Linked DNA regions of Lonchura striata. The protein of the gene in region 2 purifies or fractionates together with the protein of the main gene of each other region. This does not show direct contact. Links are inferred from orthologs where the notes say so. Each region holds a gene or a part of one and is shown on either strand. Other genes may lie near its edges.

Region 1 (3,600 bases), on a different chromosome or scaffold from region 2:
TGTTCTGTGCAGGGCTAAGAGTCAGACTCGATGATGCTTGCGGGTCCCTTCCGACCCAACCACGCTGTGATTATTACCTATTTTAAGGCCATGTATCATTCACTGTCAGGGCTGGCTTAGCGGCCGCAAGCTGTGATTTTACAGGTGGACGTGTCTGCTTTGAAAGCCCTTCAGTGTCTGCTGTGAAATCCCTCTGTGAATCCTTTGAAAGCCCCTCCGTGTCTGCTGTGAAATCCCTCTGTGAATCCTTTGAAAGCCCCTCCGTGTCTGCTGTGAAATCTCTCTGTGAATCCTTTGAAAGCCCCTCCGTGTCTGCTGTGAAATCCCTCTGTGAATGCTTTGAAAGCCCCTCCGTGTATCCTTCGCAATCCCCCCGTGTCCGCGTTCCCCGTGTTACTCTGAAGCGCCGTGCGGGAGCCCCGCGGCGGGCGGGACGTGCGGAGCGCTCAGGGAGCGGGAGGAGAGGGGATCCTGCGGGGATCCTGCGGGGCTGTGAGGGGCGTCCTGCGGGATTATGAGGGATGCCCTGCGGGGGCTGTGAGGGGCGTCCTGCAGGGATCCTGCGGGGTTATGAGGGATGTCCTGCGGGGATCCTGCGGGGATCATGACGATTATCCTAGGGGGGCTATGAGGGATGTTTCGCAGGGATCCTGCGGGAGCTATGAGGGATGCTTTGCAGGGATCCTGCGAGGCTATGAGGGATATTTCGCAGGGATCCTGAGAGTCTATGACGGGTGTTTCGCAGGGATCCTGCGAGGCTATGAGGGATGTTTCGCAGGGATCCTGCGGGGGCTGTGAGGGATGCTTTGCAGGGATCCTGCGCGGGCTGTGAGGGATGCTTTGCAGGGATCCTGCGAGGCTATGAGGGATGTTTCGCAGGGATCCTGAGAGTCTATGACGGGTGTTTCGCAGGGATCCTGCGAGGCTATAAGGGATGTTTCGCAGGGATCCTGCGGGAGCTATGAGGGATGTTTCGCAGGGATCCTGCGAGGCTATGAGGGATGTTTCGCAGGGATCCTGCGGGAGCTATGAGGGATGCTTTGCAGGGATCCTGCGGGGTTATGAGCGGTGTTTCGCAGGGATCCCGCGGGAGCCGTCCCCGCTCTCCCGTCTCCCCGCCGCGCCCGCTCCCTCCCCGCCATCATGGCGGCCGCGGTGAGGGCGCTGAGGGAGCGCGCGCCCCCCACGCCTCCGCCCCGCCCCGCCTCCGCCCCGCCCGCGGCGCTGGCCAATGGGCGGGCGGCGCGGCGCTGACGTCAGCGGGGCGGTGAGCGGCGGCGCGGGCGGCGCGCGGTCAGTGCGTGCCCGGCAGCCCGCCCGCCATGTCGCGACAGAGCCCTCAGGAGGAGAACCTGCAGGGTAAGGCCGGGGCGGCGGCGCCGCGGGCACCGCGGGCACCGCGGGCACCGCCCGGGCACCGCGGGCACCGCCCGGGCACCGCGGGCACCGCGGGCACCGCCCGGGCACCGCGGGCACCGCCCGGGCACCGCGGGCACCGCTGTGTCGCGATATTGGCCGGTTGCGTTGGCAGACGTGCGGGTCCATCGCGCCGTGTCCCGGGGGATCAGGTGTGGGATAACGCGGACTCGCCGGGAAGGGAGAAGCCCAGCGCAGCCAGAGTGCGGGGCTGGCGCTCTCAGGGCCGTTCCCATCGTTCCGGGCGTTCTGCTGCTCCCTTCCCAGCGCTGCAAGCTGTGTCCTAAGGGAATGAAGCTTTCCAGCGCTGTCTGTGCTCGCATGTGTGTCCTAGGCCGGGATATCGTGACAGACTCCTCTGTCCCGAGTCCATCCCGGGATGCATCGCCTCTCCTGGCCTTCGCTCTGTTTGTTTCCATAAAAACACGGCTGCTTTTATCTTCAAATGGCCGTATCACAGCCTGTTCCTGCTCCGGCACAGCCTTCCTCTGAGGAGTGTCCAACAGGAGAAGGAAAAAAGGGAAAATTGTAAACCCCATCTTCTGTCCTCTTGCTGCAGCAATCCCAGTCCTCTCCGTGCTTTATCCTGCATTCCCAGCGCTGTACCCAGTACGATTTCGGCAGATAAAGCCTTAATTTGAGCTCTGGTTGTGATGGTTCTTTGGTAACAACCTGAGCTTCCATAAATTTCGGGGAAGGGTAGGGAAGGGTTTGCCTGGCGCTGAACGTATTCCCTGATTCCCTGCCACATACCAGGCACTGTCACGTGGAGGGGAAAAGTCCCAAACAACAACAAACAGCTGTAAAGGAAAAGGCGTTTTGGAGAACAGCGTCTCTTCCAAACTCGGTGGCCTGGAATGTTTTTATGCAGCAGGTTTTGTGGTGCTTTGGCTGTCCAGATGGTGGTCTCTGTATTTAGGATGGAGATACTCAGGTTGTTCCTGCACATGAGGCAGTTCGGCCTTGTGCTGTTGCCTTTGGATTTTGGAGTTTCCAGACAGGATATCTGGGATGTCTTTGCTGGTGGGATGTTCCTGCTTCCCGCTAAACCCCTGTGCTGCTGGATAGCTGGGGAGGGACCTGCAGCTCCAGCTGTTCCTGCTGTGCCTTTGTTCCCTGAGCACCACTGTACTGTCTCTCTTTCCCTGCTGATTCCTTAGACATCCTTGCCCAGAATCCAGGGAATTCCCACTGCCCTCCTGCTCCTGTCCTGCTGCTCTGTTCCCTGTGCACTGCTGGGGCTGGGTCCCATCTGTTCCATAGTGGGGTTCCTCTGGCTTTTGTGTAACTTGGGTGTTTTCTGTTCCCTGAGCACATTTCTGGGGGGCTGGAGGGACAGGACACAGGGAATGGTTCCCACTGCCAGGGGCAGGGCTGGATGGGAGATTGGGAATTGGGAATTGTTCCCTGGCAGGGTGGGCAGCCCTGGCACAGGATGGAATTCCCAGAGCAGCTGTGGCTGCCCCTGGATCCCTGGCAGTGCCCAGGGCCAGGCTGGACACTGCGGCTGGAGCAGCTGGGACAGTGGGAGGTGTCCCTGCCATGGCAGGGGGCACTGGGTGGATTTGGGGTCCCTTCCAACCCAAAGCATTCCAGGATTCTATAGGGAGGGAGCAGCTCCAGGCCCTGCAGTGAGCTGTCCCTGCCCAGGAGGGAGTTGTTATTCGCTCCCTTAGGAAAACAAAGCCCATGTGACCGTGTTAAATATACTGCTAGGAGCAAACCCATGACAGCCCTTGCCACACAGCCGCAGTTGCTTAACAGCAGCACCTACAAATGGGACTGAAAAAAGGCTGCACTAAACACTCCCCGGGCTCTGGAGCCCAAAATAATTTCAATAAATGAATAACTGAACTTTGGCAGCAGAAGTCCTTGAGATTATTTTGATTGCCACCTATGTTGAACAATAAAAGTTGAACATATCCCAAAATAAAAGATCTGTATGTGCAGAGAGAAGCACAATGTACTAGTGAGCAGCTGCTTCCCAGCCCTGTGAGCCTTCCCAGCTCGACTGCCTGCACTTTGCATTCCGTGCTGTTTATGAGCTGGGAGGCAGGGCTGGCCTGTGTCCCTGAAGTGTCACTCTGGATAGCCCGGGGTCAGGGAGAGCTCCAGGGTCAGGGAGAGTCCCGGGGTCAGGGAGAGCCCCAGGGACAGTCCCGGGGTCAGGGAGAGCTCCAGGGT
Region 2 (3,819 bases):
GGGCTCATCATGGCACCCCACCTTACCATGGCCTTCACATCTGCAGAGGTAACAGGACAAAAAGCAGAGTGGGCCTGAGTCACAAACCACAACACTGCGAAAATTCAATACCTTGGAGGGAAGGAATGCCCTCCAGAGGGACCCTGACACACTTGAGAGGTGGGCTGGTGTGAACCTCATGAAGTTCTACACAGCAAAGTGTGAGGTCCTGCACCCAGATTGTGGCAATCCTGGGCACACCTACATGTTGGGCGGAGAAGTGATTTGAGAGCCACACTGTGGAGAAAGACTTAGGTGCGATGGCTGATGAAAAAACTCAACACGAGCCAGCAGTGTGCACTTACAGTCCAGAAAAATCAGTGGAGTCCTGGGCTGCATCAAAAGCAGTGTGGCCAGCAGGGTTAGGGAGGTGATTTCCCCCCTCTGCTCTGCTGAGATCCCACCTGTAGTACTGTGTATAGTTATGGTGTGCCCAGCGTAAGGAGGACTGAAGGTTTTGAAGCAAGTCCAGACTAGAGCATGCCCCCTAACAATGCTGAGCAAATTGGGGCTGTTCAGCCTGGAGAACAGATGGTTTCATGGAGACCTCATGGCAACCTTCCCGTATCTGAAGGGGCCGACAGGGAAGCTGGAGTGACTCTGCATCTGTCCTTGTTGTGACATGACACGGAGTAATGGGTACAAACCGAAAGAGGCAGAATTTATGTTAGACATCAGGAAGAAATTCTTAACTGTGAGGACAGTGAGACACTGGAACAGGTTGCCCAGAGAAGCTGTGGATGCCCCATCCCTGAATTGTTCAATGCCAGGCTGGATGGAGCTTTGGCCTACTGCTGGGGGTCCGTACCCACGGCAGTAGGGCTGGGGCTTGATTCCTAACCCTCGGAACCCCAGCACTCTCCTACCCCACCGCGAACCCGCGGGACCCCGCGGGCCCGCCCCGCGCCGGGGCTCGGGCAGGCGCAGCCGGCGGCCCCGCCCCCGCCGCGTCCCCCGTTCCCGCCCCCGCCGCCCTCCGCGCGGCGCTTCCGGCGGCGCCCGGCGCGGCGGCGGCTCCGGCGGCCCGGGCGGCTCCGCCCTCCGGACGGGGTAGGGTGGCGGCGGCGGCGCTGCCGGGGGGCGCGGGGGGGCCGCGGGGCCGGGCCTGCAGCAGCCCCGGTGCGGGGCCGGCCCTGCGCGGCGGGAGCGGGCGGCCGCGGGCGTGCGCTCCCCGTCCGCCCACCCAGGGCACGCTGGCCGGGCCGGGCCGGGCCGGGCCTGGCAGGGCCGGTGCCGCGGTCGGGGAGGGGACGCGGAAGGCAGCGGCGGCACCGGGCTGCCCCGCTCGCGTCTGCCCGCCGCTGTGCCTAGGCCTCGGCGGGAGCTGCGTCCCGGGGAAGGGAACTGCCCCCCGGGGAAAGGAACTGCCCCCCGGGGAAAGGAACTGCCCCCCGGGGAAGGGAACTGCTCCCCGGGGAAAGGAACTGCTCCCCGGGGAAAGGAGCTGCCCCCCGGGGAAGGGAACTGCCCCCCGGGGAAAGGAACTGCTCCCCGGGGAAAGGAGCTGCCCCCCGGGGAAGGGAACTGTTCCCCGGGGAAGGGAACTGCCCCCCGGGGATGGGAATTGCCCCCCGGGGATGGGAACTGCCCCCCGTGGAAAGGAACTGCCCCCCGGGGATGGGAACTGCCCCCCGGGGAAGGGAACTGCCCCCCGGGGAAGGGAACTGCCCCCCGGGGAAGGGAACTGCTCCCCGGGGATGGGAACTGCCCCCCGGGGAAGGGAGCTGCTCCCCGGGGAAGGAAATTGCTCTCCGGGGAAGGGAACTGCTCCCCGGGGATGGGAACTGCTCCCCGGGGAAGGGAGCTGCGTCCTGGAGAGGGGAACTGCTCCCCGGGGAAAGGAACTGCCCCTGCCGGTGGAGAGCGCGGTTGCCGAAGGAGTGGGAAGGGGTAGGGGTGGGATGGAGCAGGGAGGAGGGGAGGAACAGTGCTGGGACCAGACAAAGCGGGCAGGGCTGGGCACGGGTTGTGCTCCTCTCCCCTGCGGGTCCTCCGCCGCTGCTCGGTCACTGCGGTGTTCCGCACGTACACGGTTTCACCCAGTTGCCCGATCACAGCACTACAGAAAGTAGGCGCCGAAGTTGCGATACTATTTTATTTTTTAGGTGTGTACTTTAGGGTGCTTCGCTTCTTGTGGATTGTTATTTGCTACCAGTGCAGGCTGAAAAATGGACATCGATTGGATGTGAATGGACATGATAAGGACAAGGGAACACAGTCTTAAGCTGTGAAAGGAGAGATTTAGGTTTGCCATGAGGAAGAATTTCTTCACAGGAGGGGTGACTAGACACTGGAATGGGTTGCCCAGGGAGGTGGTGGAGTTACTGTCCTTGGAGGTGTTTAAGTAAACATGGCACTTAGTGCCGTGGTCTAGGTGACATGGTGCTTTTAGGTCATAAGTTGAACTTGGTGATCTCAGAGGCCTTTTCCAACCCAATTGATTCAGTAATTCTGTGACAGTGGCAGATACCAACTACAGCCGTGCAGTGAGGAAGCAGCTGACCAGCAAGTAAACGCTATACAGAGTATACCTGCATGGAGGAGCAGTGTGATATCTCAAGAGACAAGTGAAAAGACAAATAAGGCAAATACCACAAATTCCTTTTAAAAAGTACTGTGGGAAATTTTTAATTTTTTAAAAAATTACATTAAGAGAAGAGTTTCACCACAGGTGGAAGGGTAGTTGGTCAGAATGAAGTGGTAGAATGCTGGTAACTTTAGGCTGTTAATAGAAAGGGCTGTCTGATAATTTACTCATGTTGAGGAGCAGTTTCTGTTACCTGGGGAAGCCATCTCCATAAGAGACAGGGTGGCCACTTTGAATGTGGAATAGGTACCAAAGAACTTTTGTCTCCATTGTATCTCAGTGCTAAACCGCATGATGAGTCTGGTCCTAGCAGGAATGCAGTCAGTGAAATGATCTGAAGTTCTTGGGTTTTGCATATTTTGGTACTTGTGAAGGCAACACAAGATAAAACTGCCATATATTCCAATTTTTTTCAAACAGTAAAATTATTAGTTAGAAGTGTGTGTGAAATGGCTTTAGTGCCAGAATATATTATGGGAAGAAACACAGCAAATGGGGCCTGAGTTTAAAGTATACTGTAATAGCTTATTAATTTTTAATTAATAATAGCTTCTAGTTTCAACAAGTTGAGTCTAGATGTTGGTACAATCTAGGTAATTAACAGCAAGAGATGCTAACCTGTGGTAAAAGTACTCTGTTTTAGACTAATGTAAGGATCCAGTATTCCCTCTGTGCATTAGTGTACAAAGATAATTAAGAGATTTCCCATTTACTGTCTCTTATCTAAGCGACACATATTAAATTGCATTAATCTATCTTCAGAGATCATACAAGCCCTTGCTTTTGTCATTTATACATTCTTTGTAATTTGTCAATGTTGCTGTTTCTTCTATAGTCAAATGAAGGAAAACTGCTCACTGCTCCCAAATGTGAGATTAGCAAAGCTGGTGTAAACAGGAATTATTACTTCATTATTATACAGAATTATTACTTATGGCTTTAAAAATCAAATCTTGTGTATGCATGACTAGCATGTACAACATTTGCTTCTCTTGAAATAGTACAAACTCTTCCCTATCATGTGCTTTTCCAGGGATGGCTCAGGGATAAAATGTACCATTTTTTTTTTTTTCCTAAATCTAGTATCTGTTACGTTTTCTCAGACATCTTCATTTCACAGCCCTTTGAAATCTCAAGTATTTTTCTGTGTACTTCCCACCTTTTCTCAGCAGTCTGGTTGGTGAATAGTCCTG
Region 3 (3,819 bases), on a different chromosome or scaffold from region 2:
AGTTCATGGGAGCTGAGCAGTTGACATGAGGAGCAGCACGTTCCCAGCTGACCTCACCTGGAATGACTCAAAATACATTCAAGGAAGAATAATCTGCCATCAAGCCCCAGCACGCCACCCCCTCCCACGGGCACTCACAACTGCTTTGGGACAGGGAGCAGGGAACACCACCGGCTTCAAAGGCTCATGAGAGGGACATAAATCTCTGTTTCTTAAAAGAAATGGACAGGAATGCCCCAATAACAGAGAATGGGGTTTGCCCCAAGCTTTTTTGTACATTAATCACCTGCTTGAGAATTTTTAATTTCACCGTATTTCTACTTGATGCTAAAATAGGAAATGTGGCAGAATGGAGTGGTAGAATTAAGAGCAATAGAATTAAGAAATGTGGCAGCATCTCCTCCCTTCACAAATCATGTAACACACACTCTTTGGAGGAAAAAAAAAACAAACTGTTCACATTGATGGTATTTTTCTCCAAAATTGAATGTTGGCTTTGCTCTATGGCTAATTATTCCACTATTAATTTATATACATTGACTTTAATTCTACATTTTTCCATAATTTGGTGGACTGTTTAAATAGCAGGAGTTAAACATGTTGGGGAAGACTGGTCTCATTTTATTTATTCCCCCTGATTTCAGCTTGGTGCATGAAGTGGAAATATCAAAGGTAATATATAAATTAAATACCTGTATACATTTTATAGACATAAAAATTCTCCAAGCTACTACCAACTCAGTAGCTTACAAGTAGTTTGAGACATGATCAACCTGAATAAAGGAATAAATATCATGTCTACAATGAAGTACAACTTTAACCAAAAAGGGAAAAAAAAAAAAGGAAAGAAAAAGAAAGGCAACCAGACTCCCACAATGCTAATTATTAAGCGGATTTTCCATGACAGCGCTAGACGGGCTCTTGCCTAAGGTGGGATTTCTTTTAGTCAATATGTAACAGAGCTTTATAATAATTAAAATAGAGGAAGCATCTAGAATTCCCAAAGCAAGCAACTTGTGTTTTTTATCTCTATGAACCCAACAAAGCACAGGTTACCAGTTTTATTCTCAGCTCTTCTGCCCTCCAAGTGCTAAGGGATCTTTGAATAAAAGGCCCTAAACACACACAAATGAAACACAGAACACCATGAATAGGTGTCTCAGCTTATTGGCCTGAAAGGTTCACTGAAAAGCTGAGAGAATGGCAGAAATGCACCTCTCCCAGCAAAGCATTGTGCAAGGGCTGAACATCTGAAAGCAGCACTGCTAACTGGGTGCATTTGTTTTGTTGCTAGAGCACAGAGTGTCAAACATTTCCTCTCCTACCTTGTGCTCAGCTCCTCCAGCAATCACTGAGCTGGGTGAGCCTCTACCTGCTGCCCCAGCAGCAAGATCTCCACGGGCAGATCCATCCCTGGCTTACAGAGCTCTCAGCTCTTGTTGCTCCTATAATCCAGCAGACTAATGAGTCCCACAGAATTGCCACATCACCAGAAATTAAAAATGTAAAATATACAGGCATCAAATATGGTCATTTCTGAAGTAAGCATTGACTCAGGCACCTGGCACGTCGCAACTTGGACAGCCTAATAGTTATTTAAGTATAACAGGCCTGAATAATTTGCCAAGATTATTGACTCAGGTGACATTGTTTAAGGTGCCACGGTTATCACACGATGCAGTGTTACCACAACACAATAGCAGCATTATGAAATGGGCACAGTTTATTCTTTCTTTCATACGATTTCTATTGAGTTATGGAAAAGAAACCAACGAGTTTATTTTGCGGTCAGCTAAACTGCATCGTAAACCGCGGAGGTTACAGTTAATCATTAATGCAATTTATTCACCTTTTTTATCCTTAAAATTTAGACATGAAAAGACACAGCGAAGGAGCTGTTAAGGAAGGGAAAGCACTTGCCAAGTACCAGAGCCTACATGATGTGCCTTACTAGTGTTACCCCAGGAACAAAATGCAGCTGATGCAGCTGACAGAGATGCCGGATATAGAGGGAAATTAGCTCACGTCAGTGCTATTGACTCAGCCGCTGAATAAACTCATTCCCACAGCCACGCTCCTCCCCCTACCCCGTTGTATCCCCATCGTCGCCGCTCGGGTAAACTCCGCGTAACCACGCAACGAGCCCGGGCCGCTCCTCGGGGGATCGCCCTCAGCCCCCGGCGAGAGGAGACGGGGCGGGTCCCGCCGGGGGCAGCGCTCCCACCGCGCCCGGAGTATCCACGGCGGATCCCCTCGGCTCTCCCGGCCGCGCTCCCGCTGCCCGGGGCCGAGGGGCTGCCGGGTTGCTCGGCGCTGCTCGGCGCTGCTCGGCGCTGCACGCCGGCCCGGTGCCGGCCCGGTGCCGGCCCGGTGCCGGCCCGGTGCCGGCCCGGTGCCGGCCCGGTGCCGGCCCGGTGCCGGCCCGGTGCCGGCCCGGTGCCGGCCCGGTGCCGGCCCGGTGCCGGCCCGGTGCCGGCCCGCCCCTCACGACCCCCGCCGCTGCTCCTCTGCCCCCCGCGGCCGCCGCCGGGCCATTTATACCCGCTCGGCCCCGGCCATTGGCCCCCGGCGGCTCGCGCGGCGCGCCGTACGCCAATGGCGGCCCGAGCGGGTCGCGGCCCTCACGTCCCCTCCAGGGCCCCCCGCGGCCCCGCACTCACTGTTGAGGCCGGGCTCGCCGTGCGTCCCGTCCGCCGGCGGGTTGTTGTTGTTGTTGTGCTGCGGCTGCTCCTGAGGGCTGGACATGGCGGCGGCGCGGCTAAAGGAGGACTGAGGAGCCGCTGGGGCAAAAAAAAAACAAACAAACAAACAAAAAACAACAAACCCGGACTCCGTTCCGGGCCCGGCCGCCCCGCCCCGCCCCGCCGGGCTGCGCAGGCGCGGCGCGCGCCGCTCCCGCCCTCCGCCTCCATGGCGCGGGCCGGGGGCGCGCACGTCCCGCGCGTGCGCAGCGCGGGCGCTGAGGGGGCGGCGGCGGTGAGGGGAAAGCTCTGCCGGGCCCCAGCCCGAAACCAACGCGGATCGTGCCCTTATTAATTGTGAAAAGTGCGTGATTTGTGATTGGCTTTTGGCAAATGATACAATGAATGTTATATGCGTGATGTTAGAAAGTTAGGCTGTGCTGATTCTCTTAAGTAGTGTGTTAAATACAGTTTTAGGTTACAACATAGAAACTCTGCGATGGGGGATTTGTTACAAGCTCAAGGAGGGAGATGAGATAATCAAGAAAGTCTTCGCACAGAGATGGCAGCGAAGGGGCACATAAAAAGTTACGGCCTCCTCATCAGAAAAGACAAACATTCTTCCACCTTCTCTCCGTCTTTTTGGAACCAGCAAGATTAAGGAGAAGAAGTTGACAAAACCCAGAAAAGTTCTTAATTTGCAAGGAATTTATATATTCATGAGATATATGAATATGCAACAGGCTGTTGCTTTTAAGGTTATTCCTTTGTTCACAAGGGATGCTTTTCGTGACTCAGTGTCTGAGAGCATCCGTGAAGCGAACAGGGTTTATTAATGCCTTTATTCATGTTCAGCTCTTTATTAAAAAGATCAGCTCGGCCCCGCTGTTGTGGCTTTTTGCAGGTAGCCGAAGGGGAGAAGGTGGCCGGGTCTGTCCCTGGAGTCTCCGTGGCACACTGGAGGTGCAGAGGTGTGCAGTTCCCTCTCCTTCCCTCCTGGAAACACCAGGAAAAGCTGCCTCGCTGTTCCTGCTTCCCACAGCCCTGTCCAGTCTGTCTACAGGTGGAGGGGCTGCAGAAACATTTGAGATTGAAATCAGAACAAGGAGCTACTTGTGATTTTGAATAAAAAACCCGG

Evidence for each region.
Region 1: the proteins of FBXL4 (region 2) and BNIP3 purify together in Homo sapiens (affinity purification with western blotting; 4 studies listed by BioGRID, with this or other methods). This does not show direct contact. The link is inferred for Lonchura striata from reciprocal best matches to the Homo sapiens genes FBXL4 and BNIP3.
Region 3: the proteins of FBXL4 (region 2) and BNIP3L purify together in Homo sapiens (affinity purification with western blotting; 4 studies listed by BioGRID, with this or other methods). This does not show direct contact. The link is inferred for Lonchura striata from reciprocal best matches to the Homo sapiens genes FBXL4 and BNIP3L.

Annotation. Positions count from the first base shown.
Region 1 is NC_134609.1:32,004,275-32,007,874, reverse strand, and holds the start of BNIP3 (BCL2/adenovirus E1B 19 kDa protein-interacting protein 3), read left to right. Parts: upstream 1-1,248; 5' UTR 1,249-1,322; coding exon 1,323-1,359; intron 1,360-3,600. UniProt on the Homo sapiens protein: Apoptosis-inducing protein that can overcome BCL2 suppression. May play a role in repartitioning calcium between the two major intracellular calcium stores in association with BCL2.
Region 2 is NC_134605.1:74,122,016-74,125,834, forward strand, and holds the start of FBXL4 (F-box/LRR-repeat protein 4), read left to right. Parts: upstream 1-1,012; 5' UTR 1,013-1,089; intron 1,090-1,758; exon of another isoform or gene 1,759-2,623; intron 2,624-3,819. UniProt on the Homo sapiens protein: Substrate-recognition component of the mitochondria-localized SCF-FBXL4 ubiquitin E3 ligase complex that plays a role in the restriction of mitophagy by controlling the degradation of BNIP3 and NIX mitophagy receptors.
Region 3 is NC_134634.1:2,421,110-2,424,928, forward strand, and holds the start of BNIP3L (BCL2/adenovirus E1B 19 kDa protein-interacting protein 3-like), read right to left. Parts: upstream 2,888-3,819; 5' UTR 2,746-2,887; coding exon 2,661-2,745; intron 1-2,660.